3 linked regions of the Caenorhabditis elegans genome follow. The protein of the gene in region 1 interacts with the protein of each later gene in a biochemical or structural test. Each region holds a gene or a part of one and is shown on either strand. Other genes may lie near its edges.

What was found. Proteins that work in one complex are often made in the same cells at the same time.
Region 2: the proteins of ced-10 (region 1) and pak-1 interact in far-western blotting, tested with the Caenorhabditis elegans proteins (one study listed by BioGRID).
Region 3: of the proteins of ced-10 (region 1) and unc-73, one has a biochemical effect on the other in vitro, tested with the Caenorhabditis elegans proteins (2 studies listed by BioGRID).

Annotation. Positions count from the first base shown.
Region 1 is NC_003282.8:3,505,780-3,511,151, reverse strand, and holds ced-10 (Ras-related protein ced-10), read left to right. Parts: upstream 1-1,624; 5' UTR 1,625-1,658; coding exon 1,659-1,763; intron 1,764-2,043; exon of another isoform or gene 2,044-2,193; intron 2,194-2,551; coding exon 2,552-2,643; intron 2,644-2,910; coding exon 2,911-3,096; intron 3,097-3,580; coding exon 3,581-3,773; 3' UTR 3,774-4,824; downstream 4,825-5,372. Other genes in the region: tsg-101 (Tumor susceptibility gene 101 protein), read left to right, coding at 548-678; srz-83 (Serpentine Receptor, class Z), read right to left, coding at 5,037-5,270, 5,319-5,372. UniProt on the Caenorhabditis elegans protein: Required in engulfing to control the phagocytosis of apoptotic cell corpses. Required in embryonic development for the correct positioning and orientation of the mitotic spindles and division planes in blastomere cells.
Region 2 is NC_003284.9:6,043,761-6,050,374, reverse strand, and holds pak-1 (Serine/threonine-protein kinase pak-1), read left to right. Parts: upstream 1-1,770; 5' UTR 1,771-1,776; coding exon 1,777-1,857; intron 1,858-2,016; coding exon 2,017-2,095; intron 2,096-2,143; coding exon 2,144-2,250; intron 2,251-2,798; coding exon 2,799-2,946; intron 2,947-2,994; coding exon 2,995-3,209; intron 3,210-3,253; coding exon 3,254-3,346; exon of another isoform or gene 3,347-3,495; intron 3,496-3,612; coding exon 3,613-4,180; intron 4,181-4,230; coding exon 4,231-4,304; intron 4,305-4,358; coding exon 4,359-4,481; intron 4,482-5,093; coding exon 5,094-5,165; intron 5,166-5,322; coding exon 5,323-5,481; 3' UTR 5,482-6,066; downstream 6,067-6,614. UniProt on the Caenorhabditis elegans protein: Required for hypodermal cell fusion, together with cdc-42 and ced-10, leading to embryonic body elongation, which involves dramatic cytoskeletal reorganization.
Region 3 is NC_003279.8:4,028,692-4,033,285, reverse strand, and holds the start of unc-73 (CRAL-TRIO domain-containing protein), read left to right. Parts: upstream 1-1,546; 5' UTR 1,547-1,658; coding exon 1,659-1,679; intron 1,680-4,057; coding exon 4,058-4,227; intron 4,228-4,402; coding exon 4,403-4,496; intron 4,497-4,594.

The DNA of each region.
Region 1 (5,372 bases):
TGGAATTGCTCAATCCTGAGGAAAATGTGCAAAAATTGTTTTCAAAAAATGCAGAAGTTGAAAATTAAGAAAAACTAGTGAAAATGTTTCAAAAAAATTAAATTAAAGTTGAGATTTTTCGAAGTTTCTGAGAGATTTGAAGCCAAATTAAAAGCGTTTTTCTGAAATTTTTCAACGATTTCGTCTATTAGCACTACTACAAATCATTCAAAAACCCCCGAAAAAAAACAGAAATTAGTTAAAATTGACTTTAAATTCTAGAAAATTCACAAAAACTACAAAAAATTGGAAGTTTCTGAACAATTTTCAGCCATTTTTACTCCAAAATTTTGTTGAAATCGTTCAAAAATCAGTTTCGGTTTTATTTTAGCAAAAGTGTTTTTTTTTTGCGGAAATTTGATAGAAAAATTATTGAAAATGACTGAAAATTGGAATTTCAGCAAATTTTCGGTGTAAAAATTTTTCCGAAATCCAGCAAAAAAAAAAACGAAAAAAAATTATGGTATTTATGAGAAATTTTTTTTTTGCCTAATCTTCAAAATTTCAGGTCAATCACTGAAAAAACGCCAAATAACACTTGCCGAATACCTCCGCCATGTTCGTGACGTGTCCCGAGAGCAATTTATCTACCGAGCAACAATGCAGAAATGTCGACGAACTGCTGGTCTTCCTATTTAAAATTTAAATAAAATTTGGATTGAAAATCGTGGAAATTTTTGAGAAAAAATTGCTAATTTTTTGACCAAAACTGGAAAATCGTGAAAAATTGTCCATAAAAATGCTAAAAATTCGATAAAATTCTCGATTTTTGGATGAAAAATACTTTTTTCAATAAAAAGTGGGAATTTCAGCGATTTTCTGACGAAAAACTTAAAATTATTGCTGAGAAATCGAGAAAAATGCATTTTTTTAAAACGATTTTAGCTAAAAATTCCATATTTCATTTATTTTCCTGATGAAAAATTGTTTAACATCAAAATTTCGGTGCTTTTCCGTGATTTTTCAAGTTTTTTACATGTTTTTCCGTTAAAAATTCACTTAAATCTTCTAATTTCAGCCGAAAATTGTAAATTTCAATAATTCCCGTTAAAAATGATGGAGCTTCTATTGAAAATTACCTCGAAAAAAGCTTTCTTTTTTTGACGATTTTCCAGCCGAAACATGTAAATTACGACGAATTTCAGTGACTTTTTTGTCAAAAAAATTACGGTTTTCACTCATTTTTCCATCTTCTCATTTCAAAATTTCTCCCATTGCCGCCATTTTTCTCTAATACTCCCTTTCTCTCCGTCTTGATGCCCGTTGTGATTTGGTTTGTTCTCTCTCTCTCTCTCTTTTTTTCCGTTTTATAGACACAATTTTCTAGATTTTTCCCCATTTAAAATATCCAATTTTGCACCCATTTCCCCATTTTTCCCGGGGGAAAAGCTCGCTTTTCTCTCGAAATTCGATGACTTTTTCAGGTTTTTTGTTCATTTATTTTTTGTACAAAAATTTTAATTTAAATGTGATTTTTCCCCCCATTTTTTTCTGATTTTTTCGCTCAAAATACCGTGATTTTTGGCGGTTTTTCAATATTTTTGATAGATTTTTTTTGTTGCTATTTTTAAGCCAATTTTTCCAGCTTTTTGTGCTTGTGCTCGCGGAGCTCCCCACAAATGCAAGCGATCAAATGTGTCGTCGTTGGTGACGGAGCCGTCGGTAAAACGTGTCTCCTGATATCCTACACCACAAACGCATTTCCCGGAGAATATATTCCGACGGTGAGTCATTTTTAAAGCAAAAATTGAGATAAAATTACGTTTTTTGGCTCAGAAAATAGGACATTTTGACACAAAATCGAAAAAAAAAAACAAAGAAATTTAGGCAAAAAATATTCAAAATTGTTGTATTTTGATCCAAAAATCATTGAAATAAATATTTTTTTAGGCCAAAAACTGGGAAAAATAGTGAAATTATCAATACTGAAAATCGTGAACATTTTGATTTATAAAACATTTAAATAAAAAATAATTTAAATTAAATTTTTTTTGCTAAAAATCGTTTTAAAAAGTACATTTTTTTAATCAAAAAAATAAGTGAAATTTCACTGAAAAGTATGAAAATTAAAACTTCCGTTTTTTACGGAAAATCTAGACAAAAAACTTTTCAAAATGCGATAAAAAAGTTTTCTGCAAAAATCGTTTTAAGAAACACATTTTTAGCGAAATTTTGCTGAAAAATATGAAAATTGTCAACTTGTTCCCATAAAAATCAATAAATTAATATTTTTTATACCAAAAGCTGGGAAAATGGTGAAATTTCATATAAAAATTGGTATTTTTATTTGAAAAAAAAATGTCGAAAATTTCAAAAAACTTCAGTTTTTTTAAACGGAAAATCTAGAAAATTTTGATTCAAAAAACTTTTAAAAATGCAATAAAATTGTAGGCTTTTTGCAACAAAAAAATTGAAAATTTTGAAAAGCGCACAATTTCCCGCAAAAAATATGAAAGGTGTCTTCTTTTTCCCAAAAAAATGCTTTTTTCCCATAAATTCAAATTTTTTCCAGGTATTCGACAACTACTCAGCAAATGTGATGGTCGACGGTCGGCCGATAAATCTCGGGCTCTGGGATACAGCTGGACAGGAAGATTACGATCGGTACGGGCAGCGGGAAAACTGAAAATGCTCGAAAAAACTCAGGATTATGGGTTTTTTCAATAAAAAATTGCTCAGGATTATGTGATATTTTCCTCAATCAAAATGTGGAAAATATCACATTTTAGAAAATTTCATCCAATTTTTCATAAAATGACAGTGATTTTGAAGCTATTTTGTGGTGAAAAACTCGAAAAACATGGAATTTTTCGCACTTTGCACTAAAAATTACCCCAATTATCAATTTTTCAACACCAAAAAAATTTGCAGACTCCGACCACTGTCATATCCACAAACAGACGTGTTTCTCGTATGCTTTGCCCTGAACAATCCGGCGAGTTTTGAGAATGTTCGTGCGAAATGGTATCCAGAAGTGTCACATCATTGCCCGAATACGCCGATTATTTTGGTTGGAACGAAAGCTGATCTGCGTGAGGATCGAGATACTGTTGAACGGTAGATTTTTGGAGAATTTGAGAGAAAAATTGAGGAATAAAGTGAAAAATTTGTAGAAAATGATGAAAAATTGCCAAAAAATTCGAAAAAGCGCATAAAAATTCAGAAAATCACTTAAAAATTGAAGGAATACCGCCAAAACATTAGAAAAATCATTAGAAACGGCAAAAAAATGAGAAATAAGGAAAAAACGCATCAATTTCAGGAAAAAAAATTGCAAAAATTGTATGAAAAGTTGCGTAAAATAGCACAACATTCACATAAAATTTTGGAAAAAAATTTGCAAGATTTTGAGAAATTTGCTCAAAATGTTGAAAAAAAAATTAAAATTAAGATAAATCGCTAAAGAAATGTAAAAAGTTGCACTAAATTCGCATAAATTGTGGACAAAAGTTTGAAATTTTGAAAAAAAGCACATTAAACAAAATTGGCTTAAAATCGAGAAAACTTGCAAAAATTCCGAAAAAAAAAATTTTTTTTGCAGGCTCCGCGAACGCCGGCTCCAACCAGTGAGCCAAACCCAGGGCTACGTGATGGCAAAGGAAATCAAGGCTGTCAAGTATCTGGAGTGCTCGGCGCTCACGCAACGTGGTCTGAAACAAGTTTTCGATGAGGCGATCCGAGCCGTGCTCACGCCGCCACAAAGAGCCAAAAAGAGCAAGTGTACGGTGCTCTAAGATGGGGAAATTGGAGCAAACAATCGCAGAAACTACAACAATTTTAACTATATATATACATATATCATCTGGATTTTTTTTGTTTTATCGATGAATTTTGCTGTGAAATTACCGGTTTTTAGGGAGTAAAAATTGGCAAAAACTGAGCATTTTTAGGCAAAAAACTCGCCGATTTCCGTTCAAAGAAATGCTCCAAATCGGCTGAAAATTACTATTTTTTTTAACCGAAAATCGGCCAAATTTCCACTGAAAAAGCTCAATTTCAGCCGAAAATTTCTCGATTTTTTTCCAGAAAATTGTCCAAAATCTGGGCGTTTCCACTCTCTAAATCTGAATTTCCAGCACACTTTTTCTCATTTTCCCCCTCTATTTTTATCTCTAAAAATTTGTTTTGTATCAACGATTTTTCATCTTAAACTCGCTGTGATACTTTTCTTACTTATCCACCCCAATTTTCAGCATATTTTGTGCTCATTTTTGAGCCGAAAAATGCTCAATTTGTCCATTCATAATTTTGTGCTTTTCCCCTTTTCCCACCTGAAATAGGTCTTTTTTCATCTGAAAAATTGAATAACTTTTCCCCAAAAACCACAAGTGCTTTTTCCTCTCTAATTTTTATCGGTTTATTTTTTTTATTTGAAATTTCTTCGAAATTTTTGTGAAATTTCTTCGAAAAATCTGAAAATGTTTGGAAATCTCTACGATTTTTTCTAAAAAATGTTCAAACTTTTTGGAATTTGTTTGAAAAATTATTTGGAATTTTTCTGAAACTTTTTTTCAAAAACTTTCGATTTTTTTTTGTAATTTTTAGGACACAACGAACCCTCTCTCCACAACCAAAAATCCTCTTTTTTCTATTGTGAATTTGAACAACAAACTCGGCTCTTTTTCCCTTTTTTCTTACTTTAATTGTTAATTTCTCTTCTTTTTGTCCAACTTTTATTATGCTATTTTAATATGATGATATGATATTTTACCACACTTTTTTTCTATGATGGAATTTTAAATTTGAACATTTTTTGATGGAAAAATTGGAAAAAAAAACAATTCGAAAAGTTGCAGAGATTACAGATTTTTCTGAAACTTTCGATCAAAAATTTCAGATTCTGAGTTTTTTTACATTTGTTAATCGGACACAGAAATGAATGAAAAAAATCCTAAAAAATTTCCGAACTTTTGTTTTCTCGGTGGCCTAGAAAACCTAGATTTCTAGGAGTTTTCTAGTCCCCGGGCATTGGCCACCCAGCAAGCACGTGTGTGTGTTCATTGATCGTTAATGTGTGGGTTGACGCTGAAACTCTTGATCCCCAAAATCACTTTGATAAATCTTTTCAAACTGATTTTTTCCGATGAATCTCCAATCCATTTTCTGCTTCCCAAATACGGAACTTGAATAGTCAACGGAGTTATAAGAGTACTCACTAAGGTAGCGATTACCACAAAAGAGCACCCACAAGAACCATGTAACAACTGGATAGTGCTAAATATGATTGGGAACTGAAAACTGGTTCAAAAAATAAAATTGAATTACATCGAACTAAATACCGATTCAAATATTAGCGCAGTGACTGCCTGCCAGAAAATGTACTTTTGCAGAAT
Region 2 (6,614 bases), on another chromosome or scaffold:
TGTCGTGTATATGTGTGTGTGCGTATGTCTGGTTGTGTGTGTTCTTCTTCATTTGACCGCTATCGATTGATTTTATCTCCAACGACATCCTCCCCTCATCCGTCCGTTTTGCCCCTCCGCAGCTCTTTATCAATTGCCTTGGCCGCATCATCCGCGACCCACCGTACTAGTTATCTTTCTCTGTTTCCTCCATTCAATTGATAACACTAGAAAATGGCGCGCGTTCAACAAACACAGTGCCATTCTCCATTTCTAGCAAACAGTCCAGGTTTCGAACTGTTTTTTTTCTACATTGTGCAAAATGAGATTGGATTTCTTATCGACAGTGTAATAAAATCTTAGATACCTAGATTTTGTTTCTCATTTTTCTTTTTTTTTTTTCTTTCGGTTTTGTGATTTTCCTTTGGGTTTTTGCAGGTCTAGATTGTAAATATTCCCAAATTAACAGATTATGTAATGAGGATTCTCAAAAAATGTTCAACAATTTTTTATGGCGGTCTGAAATTTTAAAAACACCTAATTTTAATTAAAATTGGCTATTTTTTCATGTCTCAGCTGTTGGAAAATTTATTTTGAAGATTAGAATGTTTTTATTGCATATTGGTGATTTTCTTACATTATTTTGTTAATGAATGTACATTTAAAGCCCATACGTAATTGAAAATGGCCACAATCAACCCCCTATGATTTTTATGAGGTCTCATTATTAAATTTGTTCCTTTATGAACATTTTGAGTGCTTACAAGTAAAAACCCAAAACCGATACCCCTCCTTTAATCGAGAATAGTATTAGACCAAAAGTATCATCATTCACCGTTAGTATGAATGCAAACTTTTCAGCTTTTTTTCGGCTTTCACTTTCTAATTTCCTAAACTAGTTCTCAACATTGTCACTCACTCCGAACCTCGTTTCACAGTTTCTACTCTTTTCGGCTTCACACTTCTAGAACATTATCCGGCTGATTGCCACTTGGATGACAAGCGGGAAACAAGTACGCGAACACACGGTGGTGGGCGATAAAATGAAGTGAAACATGAATGACTCATATCATCACACTTTAAAAAAGATTCCCGTCTCTTCTTTTTCTCCTTTGAAAAATATTCCTTCTTCTTCCTCTGGCCCAGTTTATTCACCATCCATCATCTCCTAAACTTTGAAATCTTTCGTTTTGAAAACCAAAAAGCCATCTATCTTTTTCGGGTCAAACTCACGTCAGACGTTGGTTGCAGATAGGCTCTTTGAAGCAATAATGCAAATGAGAACTCCGAAGAAAAGGTCAAATTCTGGGTCCCACATTTTCCATAACTCCTACCCTGAGATTACTAAAAAAATATAGAAAAGCAATCCAATAGACGACCTCGAAAGGCGAAAGGGCCATGCTTTTTCGGTCCAAGATTACTCATAGCACTGGGTCAATGTCCTCTTTACACCATGTGTTGTGCATCCATTTCCCTGCCCGCTCCTATCAATTTCCTCTTTTGTTAGTCATAGTCCAACAATTTTTTTATAAGGGGGCGGTCAGCAATTTGTTCTTTCTTTTTCTGATTCTTTATTGTGATCGTTTTTCTATGTTTTTTTGACTCAACAAAACATGAATATTGGTTCCAATTTTCCTATTTTTCCAACAGTTTCGATTTCACTTGACAACGAAAATTCCTCCTAATTATTGTTTTCCTTTTTCAGTTTTACATTGCATACTGTATTCCTTCATTCTTTTTTGGTTTGATGCTTGTGTCTTCTTTTTCCAACAGTTTCAATTTTCCAGGCTTGCCAAAATGAAAGCTTTCTCATCGTATGATGAGAAACCACCAGCACCACCAATTCGTTTCAGCAGCTCGGCAACGAGGGAGAATCAGGTAATTAACTCGTCCCTCCACTCCTCCCCAAAGATGGGCGACAATCTTTCGAAGGTTCTTCTTCCAAATCAGATGATGCATGTGTTGCTTGCCCCTCTCCCACCCATCTCTATTTCTCTTTTTTCCATTCTCCATGTCTTGACTAACTCAATTTTTCAGGTCGTCGGATTGAAGCCATTGCCCAAAGAGCCAGAAGCAACCAAGAAAAAGAAGACGATGCCTAACCCGTTCATGAAAAGTAATATATTGCTCTTGTAACCATTCCTGATTTTCCTGTTTTTTTCAGAGAACAAAGACAAAAAGGAAGCGTCAGAAAAACCAGTGATCTCTCGACCGAGCAATTTCGAACACACAATTCATGTCGGATATGACCCAAAAACCGGCGAATTTACGGTCAGTATTTTTTCAAAAAGTTTTTGTAGCAGTTTTCCCACTCTTGCGTTACTTGCAAGATTATTTTCCAATGATGAACGAGTGATACAGCTGTCATTCTGACACCGGTCGCAACCGCTAATCGTACCAGATTAACGTGAATGCTAATAGTAAGCTAAAAACTAAAAACTACTACTTTTACTTTTTCCCTCAGTCAAAAAATCATTATAAACAAATCTCAATTTATAATAATATTTTGCAACCGTTAATTCAGTGCATTATCTTCTAAAAACGTGTTATTCTTGAAACCATGGTTAGTGTTAATAAAGCTTGCGTTTTTGAGACGTTTTAAGAAAACAAATCCATACGAGAAAAATTTAAGTGAAGCCAATTATCACGAACATGTATTCAACCAAAGATAGTTTCTTCTAAAGACCTATGAAATTGTCCCAATTTTTTTAGTATGAAGAGGTCTGTTTTGTCGAATAGACTTGAGAAACTACTGTAGAATCTTATTTATAAACTTTTCTCAGAAACTTTTGCTCCTTATCAACAATATAAATTTTCAGGGAATGCCTGAAGCATGGGCACGTCTTCTCACAGACTCACAGATCTCAAAACAAGAGCAGCAACAGAATCCTCAGGCAGTGTTGGACGCGCTCAAATACTACACACAAGGCGAAAGCAGCGGCCAGAAGTGGTTGCAGTACGATATGAGTAAGTAACCCGTAGTCAGTCTTGCTAATGGAGCTCATTCTTCTACAGTGTTTATAGATGACGCACCTTCTCGGACGCCATCATACGGACTGAAACCGCAACCATATAGCACATCATCCCTGCCGTATCATGGCAATAAAATTCAGGATCCAAGAAAGATGAATCCAATGACAACCAGTACAAGTAGTGCGGGGTATAACAGCAAGCAAGGAGTTCCTCCGACGACGTTTAGTGTAAATGAGAATAGATCGAGTATGCCACCGGTAAGTGGGAAGAATAATCTTGAAGTTCATATTGATTGCTTCAGAGTTATGCACCGCCACCGGTCCCCCATGGTGAAACTCCTGCTGATATTGTTCCTCCCGCTATCCCTGATAGGCCGGCAAGGACGTTGAGTATTGTGAGTAGAATTTTTGGTACTTGTGTATTACATGCCCTTAGTTTTAGAGTATTTTTTTAAGTTAAAAACAATAAAAACGTGTACCACATTTTTTATTTCTAGGTTTAGGAAATAATCTTTCTAAGCCTGGAGAGGAAAAATGTATATCACGTTTAAATTATATGGAGAAATGAATGAAAATTTAATTCAATTTCAAAATGAGGGCATGTAATACACAAGTACCGAATTTTTCCCAAGTTCTCTATAACATATAAGTATATTTTCAGTACACAAAACCGAAAGAGGAGGAAGAAAAAATTCCAGACCTTTCAAAAGGACAATTTGGTGTACAGGCCAGAGGTCAAAAAGCTAAGAAAAAGATGACTGACGCTGAAGTGCTGACTAAGCTCCGTACCATTGTGTCTATCGGAAATCCAGATCGAAAATATAGAAAAGTTGATAAAATCGGCTCAGGTGCATCTGGTTCTGTGTACACCGCTATTGAAATTAGTACCGAAGCGGAGGTGGCTATCAAGCAGATGAACCTGAAGGATCAACCAAAGAAGGAATTGATCATTAATGAGATTTTGGTGATGCGTGAGAATAAGCATGCAAATATTGTAAATTATTTGGATTCGTATTTGGTGTGCGATGAATTATGGGTAGTGATGGAGTATCTTGCCGGTGGATCATTGACTGATGTTGTCACGGAGTGCCAGATGGAGGATGGAATTATTGCAGCTGTTTGCAGAGAAGTTCTTCAAGCGCTTGAATTCCTCCACAGCCGCCACGTCATTCACAGAGATATTAAATCTGACAATATTCTTTTGGGAATGGATGGTTCGGTGAAATTGAGTAAGATTATAATTTTTAATGCTTTTGCAACCTACTTCTGTGAATTTCAGCCGACTTTGGATTCTGTGCTCAGCTCTCGCCGGAGCAAAGAAAACGCACGACAATGGTCGGAACTCCATACTGGGTGAGTGATGGAAATTGAAAAAGCGAATAGGAAATTAATGTTTGACAATTGCAGATGGCGCCGGAAGTGGTGACCCGCAAACAATACGGACCCAAGGTTGATGTGTGGTCCTTGGGAATCATGGCGATTGAGATGGTCGAAGGAGAACCGCCATATTTGAATGAAAATCCACTCAGGGTATGAAATATTTGCTTTTTTGAATTTAAGAAGACAACGCTTGATAATTGAAAAAAAAAACATGAATCTGAATATATGATTCCTTTCAATAACACTTGTGCTCGCAGAGTGTGAATGAGAAATGGAAATTTGTTGTTACAGCGATAAATTTGTTGCTTAATGAATTTCAAAAAAATCTAATTGGCCACTATTCCCTAGTAAGAATAGCAACCCCAGTTTTGCCCATAACGATCAGAAAATAATTTGGTTCAGGTTGAGGTCATGTTATTGAACAGGCGCCTAAGAAAAAATTTAGCAGAAACTTTACATTTTTCCGTAACTTCTCAGCTAACTTTAGCAACCAATCTCAAAAGTTGCAATAGTTGGGTAAAGTTGGTAAAAGTTAGGGATGACCCCCACCGCAAGATACAGATGTGCATTGAGAACTACCGAAAGCTGGGTAAACTTTGTTGAAAAATCGCTTAAGTTGAGAAGATTGAGACGTTGTTGAGAAGTTGCTGTAAAATGACGAGAAAGTTAAAGTTAAAGTTGTTTCAGCTATACTTAGGTTTTATAATTTTAGCTTAAAATTTCTCATCAATCAATATTGATCTTAAAAATATTTTTTTTCAGGCTATCTATCTCATTGCTACAAATGGCAAACCCGACTTCCCTGGAAGAGATTCCATGACTTTGTTGTTCAAGGTAAGAGAACTCGAGAACTTTCGAAACAGAAGATTTGATAAAAAAAATATTTGTTAACAGTTAGTCACAAATGTACAAAAGATGACTCAACTGCTACCGCAGTTTTACTTTACTTTCAGTACAGTATCAATTTCTCCCATTCTGTCCCAATTTCCAGGACTTTGTCGACTCTGCGTTGGAAGTACAAGTTGAAAATCGATGGTCGGCAAGCCAACTCCTTACGCATCCATTCCTCCGATGCGCCAAACCGCTTGCTTCACTGTACTACTTAATCGTTGCGGCGAAGAAGAGCATCGCCGAAGCTAGCAACTCATAATTATGATGATTGTATTCTCAATACACGACGTGTATTTCTTGTTCTTCTCAAATCTCAAGTCGTACTTACTTTGAAACTGTTTTCTTTTCTCTCCATCTCAAGTCATTTCTAACTATCTACTTTGAGCCCAACTTACCGTTTCCCAACAAAAAAGTCACACCTTAGTAATTTGTGTAATGTTTTCTGGAATCGATCACGAGTAAAAATTCAAGCCCCTTCATTATTTCACATCTTCCCCCTCTTTATCTCTTCTCGCAATGCACAATTTGGACTATCTCTTTTTTCTTGTTGTTGAGCGTTCCCAATCAGACGACACACTTCAATTATTTATGTAAGTTTTTTGTCTTCACTTTGTCTTCTTTTCATTCGGTTTCTTGCATTTGTGTCGTTCGAACGGAAATCTACAGTTAACCAGCTTTGCCCAAATTTCCCTATTTCTTTTTCAAGTGTCTGTAGGTGGGAACTATTGAAACTCTGTTTTCATGTGGTTTCCAATTTAAAAATCGGCCATAAGGTCAAAATCTTAAATTTTGTCTCATGACGTTTGAAACAATTGATCATGTTTAATAAAAGAGAGATGAATTTACTTATAGAATCAGAAAAGTTTTCAAAATAGTCAAATTTTGTTCAAGGAAATTGTACTATTTTCTTTTGAAAAATTATTTATTATTATTCCTGACCAGGTACATGGTATAAGGTAGTTTACCTCAAAAATTAGAAATGATAAATAGTTCATTTGAATGATTATGTTTAGACTATATATTTTATTCTAGAAATAGTTATTCTAGTAATTGCAGCAGCACAACTCAACTCCCACCACCACAATTTAGGTATATCTGAACTTTGTTGAGAGCAACTGTGCTAAAGGACACAAAAGTTACTCCAGAGGCTGATAATGTTGTCAGGCTGATTATTGATAATTTTAAAGGTTTTCAAGAACACGCACAACATATTTTAGCAAAACTTAAAAAATCAAGTCACATAACAAGTTGAATATGTGAATAATCCCTGTGAGTATTCTGGAACTATATTTTTCACCATAATAGTGATTGAAAGTTTCAGGAGCTTACAAATGTTTCATAGTGCTATAATGCCACTTTTTTCATATTTCTTATTGAAAACTAAAATCAAAA
Region 3 (4,594 bases), on another chromosome or scaffold:
TATTTTTCATTAAAATTTAGTGTCAAAATATAGGATTGATTGATCTGAAAATAATTTTTTAGTTGAAAAAAAATCCTTAAAAGTTGTCTGAAAGGTGAAAATTGCTGGAATAAATCAGACAAATTATTGACACTTTTTTCCAGCAATTGGCAACTTTCATGCAATTTTTAATCATATTTTCACATTTTCAAACTTAAATGAAAATTATTTTCTGATTAATAAATTATTTGTTATATATTTTTGCATTAAATTTTGATCTGTTTTGCCTGTTGAACTAAAATGCTCTAGTTCAGATACAAGTAGTTTCAAAGAATTTGAGAGATTAGATTATAAAGACATCTCAACAACTTCTAGAGCTCACAACAGCATCTATTGAGTTCAATTGAAAAATTCAATTTTGGAGAAGAAAGGATTTAAACAGAATTATCTATATTTGAAGTGTTGCTAACATACTTCTTGTCATCTGTCGCCTGCATCGTTTGCACCTGCCACCATTACCGCCATCTCACGTCGTCGTCTTCTTCATGTCTTCTTTCTTATTTTGCCTGTTGTGTCCCCGGCGGTCTGTCCGGTCCATCAACATCCGTCTGCGCGCGCAGTGACCCTTGCGTTCTCTTTTTACGTCTGCGTCTCTACAGGACACTAGCACTGTCTCATATGACCAGCGGTCTGCTACAACGGCCGTTAGCCTCCCATAACAATTCGCTTGTCTCCCGCTTTCGTACGCTATTCCCGGAGCGGTGCCCACCCCAATGGTTGGGCCCTCTTGAGAGAAATAGTTCGTTTTGGTAGCTCTTCCTTTTCTTCTTCCTTTTCCACGATTTTCGCATTTTCACACCCAACGATTTGTAATGCGTTGTGCAACTAATAATTGAGACTAGATTCATCACATCTTTATTTGCTTATTTTATTTTATGCAGTGAAGACATTTGAATAATGCATACTTCCTGAAAAAGTACGTATTCTAGTGAGAAGATCTAATAACGTTTCGCAATGTTTCGACCTTTTCCATCCTATTTTTAGCTGCTTGAGTATAGAATTTCTTCAAAAATATCAATGAGTCAGTCATTTTAAAACAAACTTTAAAATTTAGTTTTAAAAATTGGCAAGACCATTTTGACCAAAATTTGGCAAGAGATTGTTTAGACTAGGGTCAAATAGAATTAAATTAGCTCAAGCCACATGTTGCCAATTTCCGATTTAAGCCATTTTTTTCCGGATTGTTTGAAATATTTTGTATACCAAACTTGTTCCAAGAAGATGTTAAGCTATATGAAAAGCTTCTAAAATTGTAATGCACTTATTTTTAAATGTTCTGGAAAATTTTGTTTTTTCCATAATAATTAATAATTTTGTCTCGATTTTTTCTTTGATTTTTAAAATCTTATTTAGTGTGATTTTCCATGATTTTCGAGCAATATTTCATCAGAAAATTTAAATCGAAAATCAACTTTTTCTCTCTTTTCAATACGCACTCTATTTTATTTTCTCAAATCTCTTTTTTTGAAAGAAATTTAAAATTCTTTGAAAACTGTCATTTTTTCAGATAAACGGGTTCTCATCTGATCGTCACAATACACACACAGACATTCAGAAGCACATGATTATTTTGAATTCAAGAAGAGTCGTCAAATTCGCATAAAATTCCTCCATCAGTTATGGGCGATTATGATGGAAAAGTGAGTTTTTTCAGTTTCATGGTGGCGGCAGCGGCAACTTGTGAAAAAAGAGGCAGAGATGCCGGCGCCGTAATCCATTGAAGCGATTAATGCGGAAAACGAGTGCAAACTGTACGATTTGATAGAGAAAAGAATACGTTTTTGTTTTTCGAATGTTCCGAGAAATGTCTTTTTCATCAAATTTTTAAATTTCAAATAATTTAATTTTGTTTTGTTAATATTGCCCAGACGCAAAGTTTTGCGATATTTGCAATAAAAATACGGTATTCGGTCTCGATACTACAAATTTTTGATGAGCCTTTAAAGATTACTGTAGTTTAGTTGATTATTGATTTTTTTCTCTATATTTGTTTAAATTTATGTGTTTAACAGTTTTTTTGTTGTAAAATTGTTCCGATGAAAAATTTTTTTATAAATAACAATGAAAATTGATGAAAATTCCGCAAAAACCAAATGCTAGAGATTACAGTATTCTTCAAATAAAATTTTATCGTGTCAAGACCGGGTACCGTATTTTGATACAAAAATCGTTAAATTTCGCCTATGAGTAGTAGAAAAAATTAACACCAAAACAGCAACTAAAAAATTTAATATAACTTTAAAGTTTTGCCAAAATTGAAAAAAAAAATTTCCGAGATCTCTACTCTTTTTCACGACTATAAATCTTGATTAGGTCCAAACTAAAGAAAAATAAATCATAATAATTGATGTATTACGATTACAAACCTTCCCAGACAATTGTTGAAAAGTGTAAAATGAGTTCATCACGTTTTTGAAATATGTTATGAGTCAATTGTTTTGTGTCACTCATTCCGAAATTCGGTGCTCTCCCGGTGCTCCTGCTTCTTCTCACCCATTATTTCCGGATAGATCATGAGATGGAGAGACGCAGATAGCACGATAATAGTGACCGGTTGTGTAAAGTTGTGTGAGAAAAGAAACGAAATAGTGGGAGCTTATCAAGCTCTTCCCTCAATCCTTGAAACAGATGGTACTCTCAAAGAGTGCCTTCTCGATTAGCACCAATCTTACTACTAGTATGTTGTTGTTCGAGACAGGATTATGACCTCGAGAAGCGAGGAAAATGTGAGAGAGAACGAATACCAACAAAAAAATCCGAATAGTGTGTGTGTGTAATGACGGCAGTTTATGGCAATCGGGGAAGACATTGAGAATTGTTGTAGTGCAAAAAATTGGAGGAAAAAGAAAGAAAAAATGAAAGAAAATCTCTTGTGTGCCGGGTTTTCTTTCTTCCTTTTTCGTTTTTTTTCGTGTTGGTTTGCCTTGCAAGTAAACTAGTCAACTTCAAAATACTCTGGTTGAGCTTTTACAAAAAGTTCTCTCAGTCTTTTTTCTTTCAAATACAAATTTTTCTGCCCAATTTTTTCACAAAATAAACAAAAAGAGCCAAACTTTTATAGGTAGTTTTTGAGTACATTGTACTGATTATTTTAATTTAAAATCAATGATTCTAGTTTGTTATCTCTATTTTACAGTTTCATAAAATTTAAAAAAAGTAATGTACAGTGAATGATTTCAAATTTTTCTTTCAGTATTGGCCATACAAAAATGAAAAAATACAAAAAATAAAAAAATTTTATAAAACCTAGATTTCCGTTTGACATTTTCTTTTTTATTCCAAGTTTTAGTGCAAGTTCAGCGAAAATTCGCCCCCTGCGACTTCACCATTTAGAATTCGAAAATTTCAAAATTTGGTGCCCGCTTCTTGCCCAGAAGTTGGCAAAGCTTAGATTGATTTAGACTGCGCCCAAATCCAGCCCAAACTTGATCCAACTTTTGACAAACTCTAACCCAAGTTTAAAACCACACAAGAAAAGTTGGGCGCACCCTAACCAAGTATAAGTTTTGCCCAATTTTTGGTCCAAAATTAGACAAGAAGCTAGCCCTAAAAATCGAGTTAGTGATCGCAGAACTGTTATCTCTGACTCTCTGCTTTTCCTCCAAATCAACAGTCATTTTCCATTGCCGGGGGCCGCGAACAGCGCACTAACCATTCCGTCCGTCCGTCCCAATACACGAAAAAGTCGATTAGCAGATTGAACTTGGTGATAAACTGCAGTGCAATGTGACCAGCCCCTTTTCGTTCCACTCGACTCCCCCCCTATTCCACTCTTCGGTGTTGTGTTGCCTGCGTCTCAACGCTCTCTCCCTCTATCTCACCCGTTTCCTCTGGTGGTGAATTGAATTTCGAATGGTCCTTCTTTTACGACAAACACTGATATTTTTTGGAGCCACTGCGAGCTTTTTTTGGTTTTCTAAGATTTTGGTTTCATGTTCCCGGACATTTTGAACTTTCAAAAATAATCTCAAAAACTCTATGAAAACTTTTGATTTTAAACAATTCGAAAAAATTCCAGATGACGATGAAAGCAGAAGACATTCTGCATGTTCTTCGTGACGGCATTGCAGTACTTCCTGGAGGACGATGTAGAGCCGGACAAGCAGTTATCGTATGTCCATCACGAGAGCAACCTGTCAATCAGGATAATTTACGCAATGTCTTTCTGTATTTATTTGAAGTTACTTCGTAAGTTTTTTATTTGACTGAAATGGAACAACCACACTGTGAAAAAACAAAATTTATAAAAAGATATTTCAAAAAATTTATTTCCATTTTTCAATTCAATTACTTAACAATAAGCCTAGCCTAAGCCCACAAAACACAAATTTCAAAAAAACCAAACAAAAAATTGAATTTGCAGGAAGATGGCACGCGAAAAGGGATTCCTTGTGGTAATTGATATGCGTGGAAAACAAACATGGACCAATGTTCGACACATTCTGAAAGCTCTCAGTGTATGGTTTTTTTTTCGTTTAAAAAATATGGATTCCTACAAAAACAACAAAAAACTATATACACTTATAACAGCCAAAAATAGCGGAATATCCTTTAA